Linked DNA regions of Schizosaccharomyces pombe. The gene in region 3 interacts genetically with the main gene of each other region. Each region holds a gene or a part of one and is shown on either strand. Other genes may lie near its edges. The genes, in order: mmb1, npp1, sce3 and rga3.

Region 1 (4,208 bases), 830 kb from region 3:
TTCTTAATACCAGAACGGGAACGATTATGCATAGGGGTATTTAATTTTTCACTCGATATACATAACTTAGAGGGATCTTCAATGTTGACAGAAGTAGGAAGTTGCGATGGACTGCGCATATCATTTGCCTGCGCATCATTAGTGCCTTGACGGGTATAACTGGAATTTTGATGTGGAAGCATGGTAATAAATTTTAAGAAAAAGAGAAAATAAAAGTAAAATGGAAACAAATCACAATCAAAGGTGAAGTGATGGGATTAAAGGTTTTAATGAGAAAATAATTCGACAAATATGTAACAAAGGGAAACTTTTTTTTTGAATTACACGAAATGTTTTCAAACTTGAATTATGCACAAAATTAGAGAAACCTGAGAATAATAAATAAGCTTGATAATCCAAATAGCCAAGGGATTAATGGGATATAGGGTTGTAGTGATATTTCGGGTGTTTAATTTATTTAGAAATGGGTATAAAGTCCAGACTGTAAACAGAAAATAATCAGTAAACGAAATCTTTAGTGTTCCGTCCGAAAGAAGTTACCCTAACGAGATATGAAATTATGCGAACAGACGAAGTTTTAGAAGCCGACAATTGAATAAATAAAGGATCAAACTTGCTTAGTTTTATCGAAGGAAGCAAAGCAAGAGAACCGTGAGTAGGAAATAGAAAGTGAACAGTAATAAAAAAAAGTAAAACAGTAGGGAACGTTTTCTTAGAGCTTATTACAATTACGAAAAATAAAGCTTATCCCAATTGAGATAGTTAAAAAAAAAGGAACGAAATAAAACGATATGAAAGACAACAAAGGATGGAAAAACAAAAACAAACCGCTGAATGAATTAATCAAAAGAAAGCGGAAAAATTAATAAATACTCATCAATAGAGTAGCACAAGATGAAGCGAAGGGAGTAGGACAAGGCGTTAAGCCTGCGTTTAGTCTGAACAATAGATATAGACTAAAAAGTGAAAGACGGAATTTCAAAGTCTTAATTGGGGTATTCTATGTATATATACGTCCATATCTGGTAACATTTGCAAACCGTCTTTGATGTCAATTTAATAAGGAACCGAAGGTAACTTGCACACCTTGAGCAGTGACTGGGAGTAACACTCTCCTTGACATTCCCTCGGTACATAGGAGACGAATGAACCGAATGAACAAATAAACTAGATAGTTGCCCAAAAATGCACACAAAGCATTATCACTTTTATTAATTCAAATAACGACATACCAAAGTCGTAAAAGTTGGTAACAAACTCTTCAAATGATATTTCTACTATAACATTTTTCGTAGTACTTACCACTACGGGAGATTTGTAGAATCGGTATGATGCTGTGGAAGAAGAGTTATAGCGGGTTTCCTCAATGTGTACATGTTATTCTCATTGTACACTTGCATCTTAATTTTCACATTGCTCTCTCCCATCAATGATTTGCTTTGGAAAAACAACGGGAACAGAAATCTGGGAGGGAACGGAAAAGTATATTCATAGCAATCACAATTTAACGATAATTATTATGGTCAAATGAATACATATATTGAAAAGAATCGGTCAGCTGGATAGAAAATATGTAAACAGTGCAGCACTTATGAAGGTAATTTTATTTGTTTGCATCAGGTAGCAAGAGTTTTACGGGGATTAATAGAATTCGTTATATATACACTAACAATATAGGACGTAGTTTGTTATTGCTACCTAGTGTTGGGCGATACCAGCTAACGGTGTAGTGTATTTGGCTTTCTCTTTTGTGCATTCAGGGTTGTTGATTGCGAGTCTTATTCAATTTTATTCTGCCAATGCCGGGTTCACCAAGCCAAGAGCCTTTGGCAGAGGCCGAGTCTAATATGCTTCAAAGACTGGAGCAACTACAAATGCAAACATCGAATATTCTCAAGGAACTGCATTCTACGTCGATTTTCACGGATTCTACCACCTCACAACTTCATAATGGAGGTGAGAACTCTGTAATGGATACTGAGGAATCCTCGGCTATTGATAAATTAAGTGCCTCTTTACAGCAAGTAAACATTTCTTCACCATCAGTTCCTACCTCTCAATCTCGGGTTACCCAAGGCCAGTCATTAGGAAATACCCAAATATCTAATCCTACTTCAAAGACTAATAATGTACGAGCCAAAGCTCGGAATATTCGTAATCCCTCTCAACGTCTTCGACCCTCGACTAGTTTGGCCAGGTTATCAAATAACGCACCTCGCATTCCCAAAGAGGCATCACTACATGAGAATTCAATTTCTTCCAAGGAATCTCCTTCTGTAACGACCTCTAAACATGTCGCTACTATTACAAAACCTTCAACGTCGTCTATCGCCCGAATGTCCTCAAATGCTAGAATTGCTGCTATTCCGAGAGCGAAATCTTCAATGGCAGTTCGTTCACCATCACGCCTTGGTAATGGCCCGAATGTGCGCTCACCAAAGGTCGGCTTCAATGCAAAGTCGGATGATAGCCCCGTCGTCAAATCTCCTGGCTCTAACGACAAGCCTTCAGCTTCTCCTCGAATTTCTGTTCGTTCTCTCGGAAATTCTTCTGTCGTTCGTCCACCCACAAGGACTTCCACCACCCGTCCATTATCTAGAGTTAACGTAACAAATGCTTCCGGAAGTATCTCAAAGAATTCTACTAGTCCTTCCAAAGTAAAAGTCAACGCATCGACCAAGATCGTGCGTCCTGTAAGTGCAGCTCAGACTGTCCGACCGGGATCCAGAATCTTCAGAGAAAACTCTGCGTCCAATACTCAAAGACCCAACGTCTCTGCCACTTCTAACTCAACTGTTCGGGTAGCTTCTTCATTAGCTGTACGACCTGTTTCACGTAACGCGCAGGCGCGTACTCCCTCAAGATTAGAACAGAGAGAAGTTAATGTGAAAAATTCATCAGCTAAAATCGTTCGTCCAGGTACTTCTTTAGGTGTTCGTTCACCTTCTCGCATTCAATCCACTCTCTCTTCGAGGACAACTACAGGCAATGTTCGTACTAAAGCGGCTAATATCGTTCGTCCTTCTTCATCAATCAACCGTCGCCCTCCTTCGTCAATAAATCAACGCCCTCCTTCAAACTTGCGCATTTTGGCTCCATCTCGCTCGCGTGCAACAATTCATGAGAGACCAAGCAGTTCAATTTTACACAGGCATGCCCATTCACTAACTTCTTCATCCTTTTCCACTAAAACATTGGCTACAACCAAAGAAATTCAGAATTCGCCTACTTTGGTAGAGTCTTCGACAGTCGTTCATCATGATCCTTCTTATCTTCAAAACCAAACTTCCGAAATTAACGATACTAATCACTCTTCTCATTCGTCACCTTTGGACCTTAACAGAATGATATAAAAGTTGAGTGAGCTGCTGTAATTTGATGGCTTCTGTTCCATTTACACTTATTATTCTGCATAATTTATATCACATGTAGATGTTTTATCATAAGGATATTATTATTAAAAATAAGACAAACCATACGGGAAGAATTGGATGTTACGATTTGATATATTACTTTGTATTACTTAAGATCAGCTAATTAATAGCTTTTAAGCTGAAATTATGTTGCATAGGTTTATTCAGTTGAAAGCTTCACGACTGACTTGATGATAGTCGAGAAGTTTAGAGGGATGCGCTCTGTGTTAAAATTCAGCATGCAGCAACATCAGCATACAACCGATATGTAATAAATTAACATTAACAAACTGGCATTGTTTTCGTGCTCTATCAACTATCAGCAGTAAGTAATTGAAGACATTATGAAGTAAATGAGATTGCTGCATTACTAATTCATTTAGCAAAAAATTAAGTAAATAGAAGGGTTAATTTGTGCAACTTGTACGGTATATTTTGGATAGCGCAATTACGTTACGATTCATAACTGCAAGAATATCGAGCTACTCCAGTGCGCTTTCCTTAGGAAACCAAAACAATATTTTAGTACCTTTTTTTTAAATATTACTGACGAGTTTCATTCTGATTTCTTTTTATTACTCCTAACGGATGTGGCTTTAATACAATCATGTCAATGAACAGCTCAACGGAAATTTCTCAAGAGCCCTCTATAATGAAACCGGTATCTTCAGTAAGTATTTTTGCTATTTGAACTTCTGCGTACCTTGAGTCTCAGTTCTTGTATGAACTTTACTCTCAAATTAATGGTTGTTTGCGTAGTTAATTATTTTGGATTTATTGTTAAATCGTTCATGT
Region 2 (3,909 bases), 560 kb from region 3:
ACATGCATATCCAAAGATATGGACCAAACACAGTGAAATTATATTATGCATTTGATTCTGGGGACTACCTATGCCTTGTAATGGATTATTTTAATGGAGGAGATTGTGAAACACTTATTCAAAAATTAGGACCGTTACCAGAGCAATGGGTTTGCCAGTACGCAGCTGAATTACTAAATGCTATCGAGCTTTTGCATCAGGATGGAATCATCCATCACGACATAAAGCCTGCCAACATGTTGGTTGACGAAACAGGACATATTCGGCTTACAGACTTCGGACTGAGTGAAAACGTAGAGGAAAAAAAAGAGGTTTATAAGCTTACTAAGAGGATGTCATTTGAACAGAAACATGGAAATTTGTATGAGCAGCTTCAACCTAAAAAATTCGAATTTGTAAGATATGTTCGAAATTACCGCGGGAATATTGATGAGCTTGAGAAAGCGGAGAGTCCACAGCAAAATAGTGATTATGCCAATGACTCGGTCCAGCATTTACTTGACTTTGATATCAATAACATGGATGAAACAGCAATACACATGTTAATGAATCAGTTAGAGAAAAAGGAAAACCGGACATTCATCAAAAAAGATATTTCAGGGACGCCAAATTATATGGCTCCAGAAATTTTAATGGGCGTTGATACTCAGATGGGCGATATATGGGCGATGGGTTGTGTGATATTCGAAATGTTGACTGGCACGCGACCATTTGAAGCAAATACTGTAAAAGCAATATGGGCTCGCATAGAGAGAAATGATATTGGTTGGACTAAAAGAGTGAAAGAAAGCTGCTCAAAGGAGGCGGTAGACTTAATCACCAAACTCATGGATCCAGACTGTAACAAACGGCTGGGTAGCAATGGATACCAGGAAATCAAAAAACATCCTTTTTTTCGAACCATTAAATGGGATAATTTAAATAGTGGGCCAGGTCCGTTCGTTCCACAAACAGAAAATGTTGAAGATTTGACGTACTTTGAAAAAAACATAAGCGGTTCGGATAATATTAATAAAAATAATTGTCAGACGTCAGCAACTTTAATTCTAAATGGTATTTTTGCTTTTCATCCTCCTCCAAAAGCAACACCAGCTGACAGTGGTACTGAAACCTCAAACTCAGCTGCTTTCTCTGCGTCCGAGGAGGAGACCACAAATTTAACAGACCAAAAACGAAAAGATCTTTTTTCACTAATAACCAAAGCGTTTAAGGGAATAGACTTAAAGGCCCTTAATTACAACAACAAAGCCACGCTTTTGCGAATGTATGATGAGGTCGATTTCCCCAAAAATCAACAAAGAAATAAAGAGAAATTTCGAATTCAGAAACGACCTAACAAAAAGTATCGCTACCATTTATTTTAACATCATGTAAAACCATAGACATAACATGTTCGCTATCCAGAACGAATCATGATAAGTTGAAAAATGGTTAATTAATATTTCCATACAGAAACAGTAAAAAGACAAATAAACTTGTTCTACAAAATCTTTTATTCTGAGGCTTTAGCCAAATAATGCTTCTAACATAAGTTGATGTTTCCTCCTTGAATCCAAATATTATTAATAGTTGAATTTCATATATGAAAAAAAGCTATCTCATTTCACTAAACGTTTCAAAGGATGACATTTCCTATACGACAGAACATTTAAGAGGACTGAATAGTTTACGAATTGAAGTAAGTTAGAACAAAGTGTTTACCGCATATCTTTGAAAGCGTTAAATGATTTTAACAATATTTTTCGCATCGTTATTCAAGTAAGTATTATTTGACAGATTATATGATATACCTAACAATACTCCTTTATATCATTGATTTTGAACATTCGCCGAAATGTTTAGTTGGGCTAATATTGGGTCCAACGAGTATTTGCCTTTGAAAAATGATCGAAAGGCTTATTTGAATCAATGGGCAAAACGATCGGGACTAGCAATTGCCGCTATTTGCATTTTAGGAATTCTGATATTGGCAATTGTGAAATTATTTTGCTTCAAAGCAATTATTTTTCCTATCGTTGGAGGTTCCTTCAACAATGGGACCAATGTTTTTCAGTCCACTGTCATCGTAATCTCCTTGGATGGATTCCGTGCTGATTACTTATATCGTGGGTTCACACCTAATCTTCTGAGCCTGGCTGAACGTAATGTCCATGTTCCCTTTTTGATTCCTTCTTTTCCTAGTATAACTTTCCCTAATCACTATACTATTGTTACCGGTTTATATCCCGAGAGCCATGGAATCGTTAGTAACAACTTTTTTGATCCTGTAACTGGGAAGCAATTTGTCAACAGTATGCCTGAATGTAACAAAGACCCAACTTGGTGGGATAAAGGGGAGCCTATATGGGTCAACGCTGAGCGAAATAACGTTCGATCAGCGGTACATATGTGGCCTGGAAATGAAGTGGAGAATCATGGTTACAGACCTACTTATTCGGATGGTTTCAATTTTGATACGACTCTAAGAGAAAAGAAAGATAGAATACTCGAATGGCTGGATCTTCCTGATAAAGACCGCCCTCAGTTATTACTTGCTTATGCTCCCCATGTAGATATGGTTGGGCACGCATTTGGACCGGATTCGCCTGAACTGAATATCATAATTCAAGAAGTTGATATCGTAATTGGTGAACTAATTGAAGGACTGAAGAAAAGAAATATCGATAAGCATGTCAACATTATTTTTTTAAGTGATCATGGAATGGCGCCTACATCCGATAATCGTCTTATCTGGCTGGATAATATGTTTAATTTGTCTGCCGTTGCACACAGAGATGCTTGGCCGTTAGGAGGTTTTAGAGGAGAATCTGATTTAGATGATGAGTACATTTACGAAAGTCTTGTTAATTATTCTCGCTCGTCATTACCTTCTGCTGAGAATTGGAATGTTTATTCAAAGAAAGATATACCTTCTCGATGGCATTACTCAAATAATGAAAGAATAGCTCCCGTTTGGATGATCCCGGATGTTGGATGGTCTCTTGTCTCGATGCTGGATCATTCACCGGAGTTGGAGTATGAGCCTTTGGGTGTACATGGTTATGACAATTTGTCTCCAGTGATGAGAGCACTTTTTATCGCTTCAGGATCTTCTTTTAAGAATTTTAAGGGAAAGAAGCTTGCACCGTTCCAGAACACCGAAATTTATGGCATTCTTTCGCATATATTAGATTTACCAGCTCAGCCTAATAATGGTACATATGAAGGTGCTTTACCTTTAAGAAGAAATCGTAATTCTACTAAGGAATGGTTGCTGAAGGACATAGAACAAGCATACTCTAAGCTTATTTAATTCTGCTGTTTTATCACTATCTTTATATTTTTTAATATTTTTAATTTCCTTTAGATTATATTTAATACTTTTTTTTAATAAACGACTTTATTTGAATAGCAACAATAACTGTATTCCGATTTTTAAGAATCGTAAAAGAACATCACTTCTTCTATTTTTAATTAAATGATGGTCATAACTTTGGTTTCACTTTGGTACTGCTCATCCATGCAAATGTCTAGTGATTGTTAGCTTGTTCTTATACCTAATTCATTCCATTAATACTTACCAATTTTCGAGCAGCCTCCGGGTCCACCATAACATTTATGAGAGATACAGATGAGGTTTGCCATGCTTTCCTGAGGGAACTTCTCAAATCTTCTTCATTCTTTACAAAGAAACCTTTACCACCACATGCTTCGCAAATTTGATCATAACGTATACTAGTGCCTAAGGCAGTAGTCGGTAATTGGTGATTATCACGTAAAGTTTCATAAGCATCAGTATCTAATCCATGGTAAACACCATTATTATTGATTACAATTACCAAAAGATCCAGCTGGTTGCGTATGGCGGTTTCCAGTTCCATGGCGCTAAAGCCAAAAGCACTATCACCCTCAACTACCACTATTTTGTCG
Region 3 (4,322 bases):
TTTTGGGGGTGTAGGGCTAATGAAACCAGCATGTTGGGAAATCCTTCAAAGCCACGATTTTTATAGAATCTTTTAAATTATAAATTCCTTTTTAAAATATATAATTGAATTTAGAAATGGCATAAAGGAATTGAATGAAATTTTTAGATTGGTTCGCAACCTGGATGGCAACCATTTGTTTGTTGTAAACAATACCTCTTTATGCGGATGCTTCTTTGTAAATAAAAGAAAATGAACATAAAGAATCCTTGAGAAGAAAGAAATCATAAGAAGAGTGAATTTGAACAAAAAAACAAGTGACATAAAAAATATAAAATGAAATAAATCGGTTTTCTTTGTTATCTAATTGTTAAAAAGGGCTGGTCGGTAATTAAATAAATGACTGCGTCCCACCAAGAAAAAAAGAAAGACCATTCCATTTTAATTTCAAATTCACACGTTTCTTTTATTAGATTTTACTTTCTTTTCAAATTCTTCCTTTATCTTTGCTCCAAGTCAATGAAACCCTTTGATTAATTTTTTCGATTTTTTTTTTCTAACATTATTATGATTTTAATATATTTTAATGGATTTTTTATTGTTTCAGAAATTTTTCGTTCTCCACTCAGCTCTCAGCTCACATTGAATATAGATCAAAGACAATTGTCTAAAAAAATAATAATAAAATAATAAACATCCGAATATCAATTGAAAACTGTATCATCCTCATTTTCTCTTACTATCCCAACCAGCCTTTGATGATAAACATTGGCAGAAGCGGCGGCCCTTTAACTCTAATGCGGGAACTTAAAATGTACCAACAATGGATCAACTTTCGTAACTTGATATATCTTTTAAAAATCGTGTAGATATTATCAATTGCACATATTCTGGAATTCCCAATTCTTCTTGTCTTGTCTCTCATATTACACAACTTGTTAAGCATAGACTAATGCATCTCGTCATACAACGTTAAAAGATAATACTGTGTCAGTGAATGAAAAAAGGATGATAAGCTGAATAGAAATGAATTTCAAAATCGCCGTATTTAGATTAGAAAAATTCCTTGCAATTTTGCTTCACCACCTTATTGTCTTGTTTACGTTTGTATCCAAAACATCGATTCATTTCTGTGCAAGCACGCGTCCTTTTCCTTTTCCTTTCCCCTATAATTAAGCCAATGTGTTTTTGTTTTGTTATAATTCCATATTAGAAAAGGAATCTGCAAAAAATGAAGTCTAAACACTGTCCAAACAGTCCAGTTCGCTGAGAAGTTTAAGTTTATTACTCTCAAAAACAAATTCAATGGTGTACAAAACTGATCATCATTCATCCCTTGAGACTATAACGTTCTCGTTTTTTGTTGATCGAGCTCAATAATAAATCATTTATCATTTATCAATGATACGTTTTTTCAATAGCGATTTACTTCAATGTCAAACCATGGTTGAACAAATCGTAAAGCCAATTTTAATCTTTGCTTTTGGTTTATCGCAAAATCAAATCTCTGTTTTCTGATTGAACTTCAAGAACTTTTTTTTAAACTATTATTTTATAGGAATTATTAGATTTGTGAAAGCTGACATCAAATACGGACTTCTTTCAAAAAAAAAAAAGGAAAATCATTTTCTCCTATCACAAGTATATAATCCCAAAAAAAAGACTTTCCATCAAATTGCAAACGCTACAATGGTTCCATATCCAATTTTCCATTGATTTATTTACAATAAAAAAACTACTTCCATCCAATCCTCTTTGCTCAACACGCTACTTATCGTTATGCGATTATAATGCTCACATTCACAAAAATTCCTCCATGCTTGATTTACCGAAATGATTTAATCCTCATTATCCATGACTGTGAGGAATAGAGACGTCTCCCAATTCTCCCTTTTTCTCGCCTTAGCAAATACAGCAGGCGGGAATGCTTCAGTCGTTCTACTATTGAGCAGTCACGGCATCACTGGGCTACGCTCTTGTGGACCAGCGCGCCAAGAATCGCAAATATTAAATCTGTCGAGAACGACGAAGAAAACGATCTTGTTAGTAAAAAGTGAAGATCTAAAAGAAAATATTTCATAATGGGCAAGTTGTGTTTTTGATCATGAGTTATTAATAATAGGTCCGAAAAAGGTTTGTTTAGGTAATTAGGCATGTTTGCTGAACGATATCAGAGTACGAAAATGAGTTTGAACGCCTTTTTGGGTGACGAGTCGTTTGGTTCGACTAACTGGGCTGATGATATTGATGATTTGCCAGCTTTGCGTAAGTATTTTGTTTTTTATAATGGAAAATTTTGGATTGAATTGGAGTGGGGTGTTTTTTAGGAATCCGAAAATTTCTATTAATTTTCGGCTCTCATTTTTGGGCTCCATCATTTTTCTATTTAATCTTTTGAAATTGCTTAGCTAACTCAATTTATCTATTAGCCCAAGACCGCACCACATCTACGTATCGTGCTACTCCTAGCTCTGCTGACGCCGGATACAATGCTCCTTCTTCCACGTTTGAGTCAGTTAGAAGTCCTCCCGAAAGCCGTCGCGAGGGTGGAATGGGAAGTGGTTACCAACGTGATGCCATTCCCATCCCTTCTGAACCCCCTTTTACAGCTCATGTTGGAAACTTGAGTTTTGACTTAACAGAAAACGATTTGGGCGACTTTTTCGGCGAAGGTGTCACTAGCATTCGCCTCGTCATTGACCCTCTCACTGAACGCTCTCGTGGCTTTGGATATGTTGAATTTGAGACCGCTGATACCTTGAGCGCCGCTTTAGCCTTATCCGGTGAGGATTTGATGGGACGTCCAGTCCGCATCACTGTTGCAGAGCCTCGTCGTTCATTTGCCCGTGAAGAACGCTCTACTGGTGACTGGGTTCGTCGTGGACCTCTTCCTCCTGCTGAACCTGCTGAATCTCCGTTTGGCAAGAGACGTACCAACAGTGGTCGTTTCCGTGATCCTGCTCGTGATCCTTCCGATCGTGTTCGTGAAGAGCCACGTGAATGGGTTCGTCGTGGACCCCTTCCTCCACGTGAATCCTCTGAGCGCCCTCGTCTTAACTTAAAACCTCGTTCCTCCTCCAACGTCAACACCGAAGCTACTCCCTCTGCTACCACTACTACATCTTCCAAGCCTAAAAGAGATCCTTTCGGTGGTGCCAAGCCCGTAGACAATACATCCGTGCTTCAACGTGTTGAGGAAAAACTTGCCAAGCGTACTCAGAGCTTCCGTCGCGAGGACAATGCTAACCGTGAGCGTTCTACTTCTAGAAAGCCTTCCGCTGATAAGGCTGAAAAGACCGATAAAACAGATGCTATTGCTGAGAAAGTATCAGATATCCGTTTAGGAGACGGTGAGAAAAAGAGTTCCGAAACTGATTCGGAGGTCGCTGCGACTAAGACTCCTGCCACTGAGGATGCTCCTGCCACAAACGCTGGCGAAGCAGAAGAAGAAGAGGGTTGGACGAAGATTGGCAAAGGCCGTAAACACTAAACCTTAAAAAATGTCAATTTTATGTTATTTCGCTTTGACATAAATATGGAAGTAATGTTAATATCGTTGTTTTGGGGTTCTCTATATAATAAAACAGGTATAAATAAACACATACACTTTTCCATTAAATCGAGAGATTAGCTGCTAACTTATATTTTAAGATCTCTTGTTTGTTTCTGTTTTGATATTTTCTGGTTCCGCCCATCGGCTTTGCATCTGTTTCAATTGCATATAGAAAAAAGCGGGTTGACTAAGCATACTTTTCGTTGATTTTATTCTTATAATGGTGCCTTGGTCGTTTTAGGTTAAATTTATAGTAAAATTTGTTTTGCACTTATATGTCGATGTATGTTTGTTTTTTGTCATGTAATTAATAGTAGTATATATTACTTTGCCGTCTTAGCAAAGATTAATGGTCATTAAAAGTCAATACTATCGTATGAAGTGAACCAGCTATTTCAACGGATATGAGAGTTATATTGTTAAATCTTTATGACAAATGTGTTCTTAAAACTTGCTATGCCTTTGAACACAGGATAAAAACTTATAAAAAATATGACCCCTAAGTGACTTGAACACTTGACTTTGAGATTTGGAATCTCACACTCTACCAACTGAGTTAAGGGGCCTTCGCTTGATCTCATAAATATTTAATATTATAGATATTAAAAAAAAGAATGTACAGCATAAGTTGTAATAATGAAAGTCGAATTGGTAAAGTCAAAACTGCTTAAGTAGTCAGTTGAAAAAATTAGCTTTTCTTTCAGCTTAACCTAGAAAGCCTTGGTGTAATTAATGAAGACACAAACGAGAAAGTTGCTTCAAATTACAACATTAATGGATTTTGCGAATC
Region 4 (7,695 bases), on a different chromosome or scaffold from region 3:
AACATTCGACAGATGAAAGCGATGGTAACCTTGGAGAACATGATGTAAAGCGCAAGGTAGATTCTGTACCCGCCGATGAGACTAGCATCAATGGTTTTAAGAAATCTGTTAATCAGGCTGAGTATCCTGATAATGCTCAAATGTTCATGGATGAAAGTGTCGCAGAAGAAAGTCTTGTGGAAATTGATGACAGCGTCGAAGCCTACGACATGATTCAATCCAAAAACTACGAAAGCTTTGTTTGGAAATATGTGCTGCATTTAACCGATGAGATGTCGACAGAGGACGCTCTTTTTGAAACTATACCACTTAGTAATTTGCTGGCTCAAAAGCGAATGAAAGACAAGTTAAAAGGTTCCGACGTGTTTACGACTCTTAAAATAACTTCCAAGAGCTTGCACAACATTGACGAACATTCCGATAGTGATGATGAAGTTCAACCTATATGTTATTATTACAAGGATCCAGTTGTTTCCCATGCCCCGGGTGCAGCTGAAGTCGTATCTGAACTTGAAAGCGGATATGTAGGGTTAATATCCTATGATTTGTCTAATCTTCCAAATAGTACAGAAGATCCTGAAAGGAAACTTGCAAAACCTGTCTCTTCTTGGGAGTTGTCACTCCCTTTAAAATAGATGTCTTCATTTTCGAACTACAGTCTTGAAGCCTTTACAAAAACATAAATTGTTTTTTAGCGCTGCCTCTGTGTTGGATAGCAATCCTTTCTTTTTATCGTCATTTTCTGCCAAGTTTGTTTTTTCCTAGAAAGAAAATTTAATACTTCCTCTTTATAGCAATCAGTTATTGCCATTTATAATGATGAGTCCCAGTGTTCACAATATTCTGAAACTTTTTTTGTTAAAAACTGATTGCTTTCTTCCGTATAATTGTCCCAATATTCGCACCACAACTATAAAAATTTTTTTTAGGAGCCTTTACTTCCTTCTTAAAAGCAATAGTTACTTAATCAATTATAGCGACCCCGCTATTTGAGATACACATTTTATAAATTCTACACTTTTTGGAAACGAGCATTTTCTCTTGTCCCTTTATTTGACGATCCGACCGTTCACGCTACAAACGTCTACAAAATTTTTTTCTCTAGAAAGCATCTCTCCTTCTGTTTACTCCTGTTGCTACCGAAATTTTTTCTTTTTTTTTGTCCTCTGTGTTTTTTGATCAGGAATGTATATATCTTTAACCATTTTTTAGCGGGTTTTTTCTAAAGGTAAAGCTATTTAAGCCAGAAAAACAGTTCATTTTCCTTTTTCCTTCTAATTTCGGCAATTTCCCTTTTCACAAATATCACCATTTTTGAGTGGAAAGAAAAGCCTAGAGAGCGGAAACGCTGCCAAACCCATTAAAATTAATTATCTGTAATATTATAATCGTATTTAATAGCTATTCATAACACCCGTTTCGTCTAAACTCCCGTAATAAACCATGTGACTTTTGGCAATTTTACGCACCATATCGTAGAACACGGCGATAATTTCCATAGTGTTTCGCTAGGCTAGGGCAAGGCAAGCCAAAGACCATAGTGCCATGTGTACGACGCATGCAAATTTTAAGGGATTAGAGTGAACGACTCGCTACTGCCGTTCTCACCGCTCCACTGGGCAATGATGCCAACAACTGCAGTAATAATTATTCCTTAGCCATTTACCAATTGTTTCGAACTTCAATCATAAAATTGGGAATATTTTCATTTACTTGATGGGAAGCTGAGGAATGAAAATAGGTACCCAAAGGAATCGTTGTGAAAATAAAAATCAACAAAGCCAAATTCATGACGCTAGATTGAAGTTCATAACGTTTAGCAGGAAATAAGAAGAGCATATATACGATAAGATGATATTTCGAAAAAGTATTTCCAAATCTCCATCAAGCAAGGGAAGCACAGTATGCTTTCGCTGCGGACAGGCATTTCAACGTAGAGAGACACCTATTTCGTTTGGGGGTCATATGTGGCATAAGGATTGCTTCTGCTGTACGAAGTGCGATAAAGGATTGGAGCACAGTGATCAAATGCTGGTGCAAACCTCTGATGGACGACCGGTGTGTAGCTCTTGCGCCCATACCTGTACAGCGTGTCGTATGAGGATCAAGGACTATGCCCTAATGTCAGGCTACGACTCCTATCACAGAGAGTGTTTTCGTTGCCATGATTGCCGAAAGCAAATAATTGACTCTAACTTTAAAAGAGATAATAGGACTATATTTTGTAATGATTGTAAACAAGTCCGTCACCCTTCCAGGTCTTCAGACGAGAGCGCTGATTATCACAATTTTGAGGTTGATGTCACGATTAAGCCCACAGAGACAAAGTCTTCAGTGGAATCTAATAAGTCTTTAAGCATTGAAATTATGTCTCCTCAAAAGCCACCATTATCACCTTTTGGTGGAAGCAGAGACCGCTTAGTTAGCGAAACACCGACTAACATGAGTCAGGCAGAAGGGGGTAATGTGCCGAACGATGGACAGGATAGTAATCTTGCGTCTAATTCTGCAGATTCGCTGCTGCCTAGTGCCAAAAATCGAAGTTTTTCCTCGTTTACGAGTTTTGAATCGCCGATGAAGTATGACGATTCTTTCTTTCCTATTTCACCTTCTATATCTCCGTTACAAAAAGTTAACAAGCAGCAACAAATTGAGTCTCCTACAGCCACATTTCCGTTAAGCAAAAATACTTGGAAGAATCGATTCCATACGTTTCACAAACAATCTTTTACTCCTGTTAACGATAGCTCTTCCTCGGACAGCTTAAAACCCACAATTAATGAGGAAGCCCTGGACGACTTTGCTGGCTCTGCTTCTCCTTATAAAACCATGTCATTGACTGACCGAGCAGAGCCAATTGTCATGAATGGACATATGCGTTCTCTTCACAATGCCACCTCTCCCTTTCGGCCTTTTTCTCCCTCTTACAGGTCGAGTGATACGCATTCACCGAGAACCCGCTCACCGAATGTCCAAACCCATAAAAAAACCTCTTCTCAGCCATCTGACCTTTCATCTTTTGCGCAGCTACTTTCACCGCCTCAGGTTCTTTCTCCCAAACCAAATGGCGGGGGCCATAAAAGTTTTCGGCATTCGCATTCTCTTTCTGAGACTTCTCAGCAAACACTCGTTCCTTCGCTGGGATCTAATGGAGAGTACCATTTACCGACAAACGATCATTCTTCAACTCCAGCACAATCAGAGCGAGATTCGGATGTTGAAGAATTGCGTGAACAGTTGGAAAATCTTACTGCTCTTACCAAAAAATTGTCCGAAAGGCTCTCAAGTTCTACGTTTGACAACTCTAAGTTTATTCGTACGGAAGATAAGGATACTGTTCGTTCGGCTAAACTTGAAATTTGTGAAAAGTTTTTTTCGTTTGCTGATGTGACAGATGATCCCACGCTGAAAGATCCGAAACATCAGGATTTGGTGGCTGCCGCCAATGCTTACATGGCAATGCTTCGTGAGAGTTACGGCACTGAAATAAACAATCTTTTGGAAAGGAGAAATGAGCTGCTTGACGATTACAATAATGTACAAAAAATTTTAAATGAATCGCTTGAAGCATCTGTACACCTAAATACCAAAAATCTCGAGTTGGCCGACTTAAACAACAATTTGGTAAAACAAATTCAGCATAGAGTACCTCCTGAAAACCAATCCAATTTGGAGCATACTATTACCACATCTTCCAAAAATACAACCAGCAGTATTAATCCACTTACTGCCGTGAGTAGCAACTCTGGGCAGTCATCAGGTCGACCTGGTCCGTTGTCACCAAATTTGAATGTGACTACGAGAATTGACATTAAGGGAAAAAAGGGAAGTATGCATTTGCAACCAAGAGATGTAAACCGTAAAGTCCCGTTCAAATCAATGCATACTAAATCAAAGTCTGCCGATCCTGTAGTAGGAAATGAAGATCGTACTCAATGTGACCATGTGTTTCATGTTAATGCCATATTCAAGCCCTCAAGGTGTTATATATGCTCGGAGAGCGTATGGGGATCTGAACTCCGCTGCTTTCATTGCTCAATTTCATGCCATTCGCGGTGTTTAAAAAGGCTGTTTGCAGAGTCGGAGCATGAGAAAACAATGAGTGAAACTGTAAGTGAAAATAGTAAATGGATGCCGGAAATGCCAACGAGGATGCCTCCTCCTGGGCCTTCACCAACGATGTTTGGACGATCGTTAGAAAATCAATTGAAAATTGAAGGGTCGGTTTTGCCTCAAGTAATTGCTATGTGCGTTTCTTGCGTGGATGCGCATGGATTGGAGGTTGAAGGTATTTATAGGATATCTGGCAGTGCTTCTCAGGTCCGAGTGTTAGTCGACGAATTTGAAAACGGGTCTATCCGAATGGAGCATTTGACTTCTGACTTGTTTGCCTGTACGTCGGTTTTGAAAACATATTTGCATCGCTTACCGGAACCAGTTATACCTGGCACTCAATACGAGGAGTTGTTGGAAGCGGAAAAAATCGAAAAGGAAGAGGAAAAAATTGAACGGGTAGTGGAAGTAATGAAAACGCTTCATCCTGCACATTTGAGCGTATTTCGATTTTTGATTGCACATTTGGGTCGTGTATGCAAGCACGCGGAGAAAAATTTGATGAACTCGAAAAATGTCTCTACAGTATTTGCACCTACTTTAATGCGAGATAAGGTGAATCGGTTTGATTTACAGCATGCTACCAAAAAGAGTACGGCTCTTCAGTTTATGCTTGATAACGTGGATAAGATTCTTCATAATCTGTAGCTTGTTTTATGAATAATGATTAAAATATCGGGGAACTTGTATTTTTCTAGGGAAGAAGGAACTTTACGATAATAATAACCACTTGTGTTCCAAACTTCAATAAGGAATACTTTTCGAAGAAATAATGAGACTTTTTTTACACCTCTTTTTTTTAATGAAAAAAGGAAAACAAAGATATTAGCATAACACTCTTACATTTACGACTGAACTATTCAAACTGGGTAATACAGGATGTACATTATGACAAGCAGGCAAGCACACGCACGCTCATCAGATACAAATAAATACGCACGCAAATGGAGATTGTATAAAGATATTTGCCATTAAGCATTGCGAGATGCAAAATAAGGAAAATATAATGCTAATTTGATAAAAAAAAAAGAAAACAAACTCTTTTTAACGATACTAAACAGAACTCAACTCGATTTGGTTCGAGTATTTCGTTTCTCATAACTTGAACATAAACACAACATAAACAACTCATCAAAGACACATACATACACAAACACTACGGTCGTGCCATCATGTCTCGAAATCTCAAAGAATGGTATGGGGAACATGGTGAGGGATGAATGGCAGTGAACGTGAAAGGGGATGGATGGCATAATTAAATGTAATCTGCAACATTGTCAGTCAGGGTATGACTAATCAAAAAATAAAAATTACAAGGGAGTAAGAAAAAAAAAACAAAAGCAATCAAATAGTACTACCTAAAAGGCTTATATCCCTATCAAGATAAGGATCGTTTTGCTCTTCCTCATCAAGTTGTTCCTCGTTATTGTTTGCATTTTTCTTTTGTGTTCCATTAGCGCTCTTGGAGCGTGATTTCTTTCCTCCAAAGATGCTGCCAAGACCGCCAAGAGACGAGAAATTAACACGGCCAGTATGTTGACTGGAACGGTTGCGAGTAGACTCGGACCTGGAGTCATCGTCGCCGATATCTTCCTGAGTGGCATGGTAGCTGGAGCTCTCCATGTCATCCTCCTCTTCCTGGACCAAAGGTCCGGCCTCTGGATATTCATTCATGTATTCGTTGAATGAATGAACGCCCATCGAAGGATGGCGTTGTCTACCGGAGAAGGAGTGTTTGTCAACATGATGACCATGGGTTTCTTGAGTTTGATCACTAGAAGTAAAACGATTTGCCATTGCGGTGGATTTGAAGAAATTCGATTAGTCAATTAGTATTGGATGAAATTCAATTTCAAATTGATTTGGATTTGGATTGGATTGGACTGTCAATAACAATTTTCAACTCAATTGGTTATTGTTTGTTTTGTTATTGTTGTTGTTAGATTGTCAGTGGGTGGGTAATTTAGCTTGACTCGCTGATGATCAATAAGGGTGGATATGAATACGATTCGGTATTTGTTATTACGAAGGATGAAATATATATGTACTGTATTTTGGGAATGGAATTTTCACTCTTAGTGCCCAACCTTCTATTTATCTCCTTGCTGTGGCCAAATGTCATACGTATTGGGTTGCTACATTGAATGTAAGTGTGCCTTACTCGTCCTTTCACCCGCAACTCCATTGTTATCCAGCATCGTCATCCACTGCAATCGTGGCGCCAACCTCTTCACTTCCACCACCCATATAGCATATTTCCGTGAGTGTGTACCTCGGCGAGATCCGTTAAGTGGGTTTACGAAACAGGCCAAGAGGAGGAGGAGGGTTTGGTGATAATGCAATGGAGCACACAAGTAAGCAGGACGAAGTATGATTGATGGATGGATGAAGGAAAAGAAGAGAAAATGGCAGGTTGGTTTAGAAGAGGCTGTTCATCCCGTGGTATCGCAGTCTCAAGTATGGCACGGAAAACAAGCGTCGTTTTAATTGTCCAGGAGAAAAACAAAAAGGAAACAAGACTTTAGAGGGTCAGTCTTTTTTTTATGTCTTTTCTATTTTTGCTTTATGTTGTTGTTTTATATTCTTTCTTTCTTTTTTCTGCCTTCTTGACAATTAATTGATTTCCGCGGCAAGCTTAGTCAGTCTATAATACGGTGTTGTGCATCAGAGATGTTATGGCATTGCGTCATGATCGACACCCTTCCTAATCCCTTTTTTCTCCGCCTTCGCTTCCCCACACTTGGAGTCACAAGGCTGAGTCGATGCTACCTGAAAAGATGGGGTAATGGCATGACGAAAAAGACTGCAGGAAGAGAGGGGTGGGTGAAAGAAAGGGATTCAAACGAGACATCAATAATGGATGGAAGAAATAAAAACATAAAAGAAAAAAGAAAAAAAAAAGAAAGAAAAAGTTAAAGAAGATGAAAATTTTTGTTTGTTTGTCTCAGAACTAAAGTTTTTTTTGCTCAATTTTCTGTTCAATTTCTTTGATTCGCATTTTGTTTTGTTCCACTTTTTCTTTTTTTTTTGTCTTTGTTCCACCATTGGTTTTCTTTATCCATCTCTGTCCATTGTTGGTAATCTTGCTTTATGATTATAGGAGTCCTTTGTTTTCTCTCTCTCTTTTTTTTTTTATTTCTTTGTATGAATTGCCTTTTTTTTGACTAGCGTTCTTTGTCATACATGTCATCTTGAAATAGATGGTTTTGATTGTTTCTTGTTTTCAATAACTTTTTTTTTTTTTTTTCTGCTCTCTTTCTCTTTTCATTTTTTTTTTGGTCAGCGTGAGATACTGGCTTTCATTGAGCTACAATAAATAGTTTTGACTTTTTATTTCTATTTCTATTTCTTCTTTATTTTCCTGCTGTCTTTCTCTTCTCGCATACACAAAAGAGACTCAAACATACACACACACATACTCGGAGAGTTTCTCTCTCTCTCTCTCTCTTTTTTTTAGAGTTTCCTTTTTGCTCACTTGTTTTTCTTTGATCGTCGTTCTTTACGACATCTTTGTATTATAACGAAAATAACCTTTATTTGGACTTTCTTTTTATTCACTGTGGATGAGCTCACTGTGTTGTT

What was found.
Region 1: mutations in sce3 (region 3) and mmb1 together harm fitness more than expected from each alone (negative genetic interaction), as found in Schizosaccharomyces pombe (one large-scale study listed by BioGRID).
Region 2: mutations in sce3 (region 3) and npp1 together harm fitness more than expected from each alone (negative genetic interaction), as found in Schizosaccharomyces pombe (one large-scale study listed by BioGRID).
Region 4: mutations in sce3 (region 3) and rga3 together harm fitness more than expected from each alone (negative genetic interaction), as found in Schizosaccharomyces pombe (one large-scale study listed by BioGRID).

What each region holds. Positions count from the first base shown.
Region 1 is NC_003423.3:2,608,183-2,612,390, reverse strand, and holds mmb1 (mitochondrial microtubule binder Mmb1), read left to right. Parts: upstream 1-1,750; 5' UTR 1,751-1,847; coding exon 1,848-3,353; 3' UTR 3,354-3,703; downstream 3,704-4,208. Other genes in the region: SPOM_SPBC25B2.08 (uncharacterized protein), read right to left, coding at 1-182; BTB/POZ family ubiquitin-type ligase substrate adaptor Btb2, read left to right, coding at 4,021-4,083. UniProt on the Schizosaccharomyces pombe protein: Involved in the cell polarity process and in regulation of microtubule growth. Has a role in meiosis. Involved in microtubule dynamics.
Region 2 is NC_003423.3:1,210,278-1,214,186, reverse strand, and holds npp1 (nucleotide pyrophosphatase), read left to right. Parts: upstream 1-1,795; 5' UTR 1,796-1,834; coding exon 1,835-3,292; 3' UTR 3,293-3,396; downstream 3,397-3,909. Other genes in the region: serine/threonine protein kinase Ppk31, read left to right, coding at 1-1,364; 2-hydroxyacyl-CoA lyase Hac1, read right to left, coding at 3,465-3,509, 3,561-3,909.
Region 3 is NC_003423.3:1,774,636-1,778,957, reverse strand, and holds sce3 (translation initiation factor), read left to right. Parts: upstream 1-1,988; 5' UTR 1,989-2,060; coding exon 2,061-2,064; exon of another isoform or gene 2,065-2,101; coding exon 2,102-2,112; exon of another isoform or gene 2,113-2,153; coding exon 2,154-2,244; exon of another isoform or gene 2,245-2,408; coding exon 2,409-3,469; 3' UTR 3,470-3,789; downstream 3,790-4,322.
Region 4 is NC_003424.3:5,122,995-5,130,689, reverse strand, and holds rga3 (Rho-type GTPase-activating protein Rga3), read left to right. Parts: upstream 1-1,656; 5' UTR 1,657-1,851; coding exon 1,852-4,761; 3' UTR 4,762-5,457; coding exon of another isoform or gene 5,458-5,910; 3' UTR 5,911-6,076; coding exon of another isoform or gene 6,077-6,298; 3' UTR 6,299-7,362; downstream 7,363-7,695. Other genes in the region: RNA polymerase I upstream activation factor complex subunit Rrn5, read left to right, coding at 1-635; protein mug108, read right to left, coding at 5,458-5,910; SPOM_SPAC29A4.22 (uncharacterized protein), read right to left, coding at 6,077-6,298. UniProt on the Schizosaccharomyces pombe protein: GTPase-activating protein for Rho-type proteins.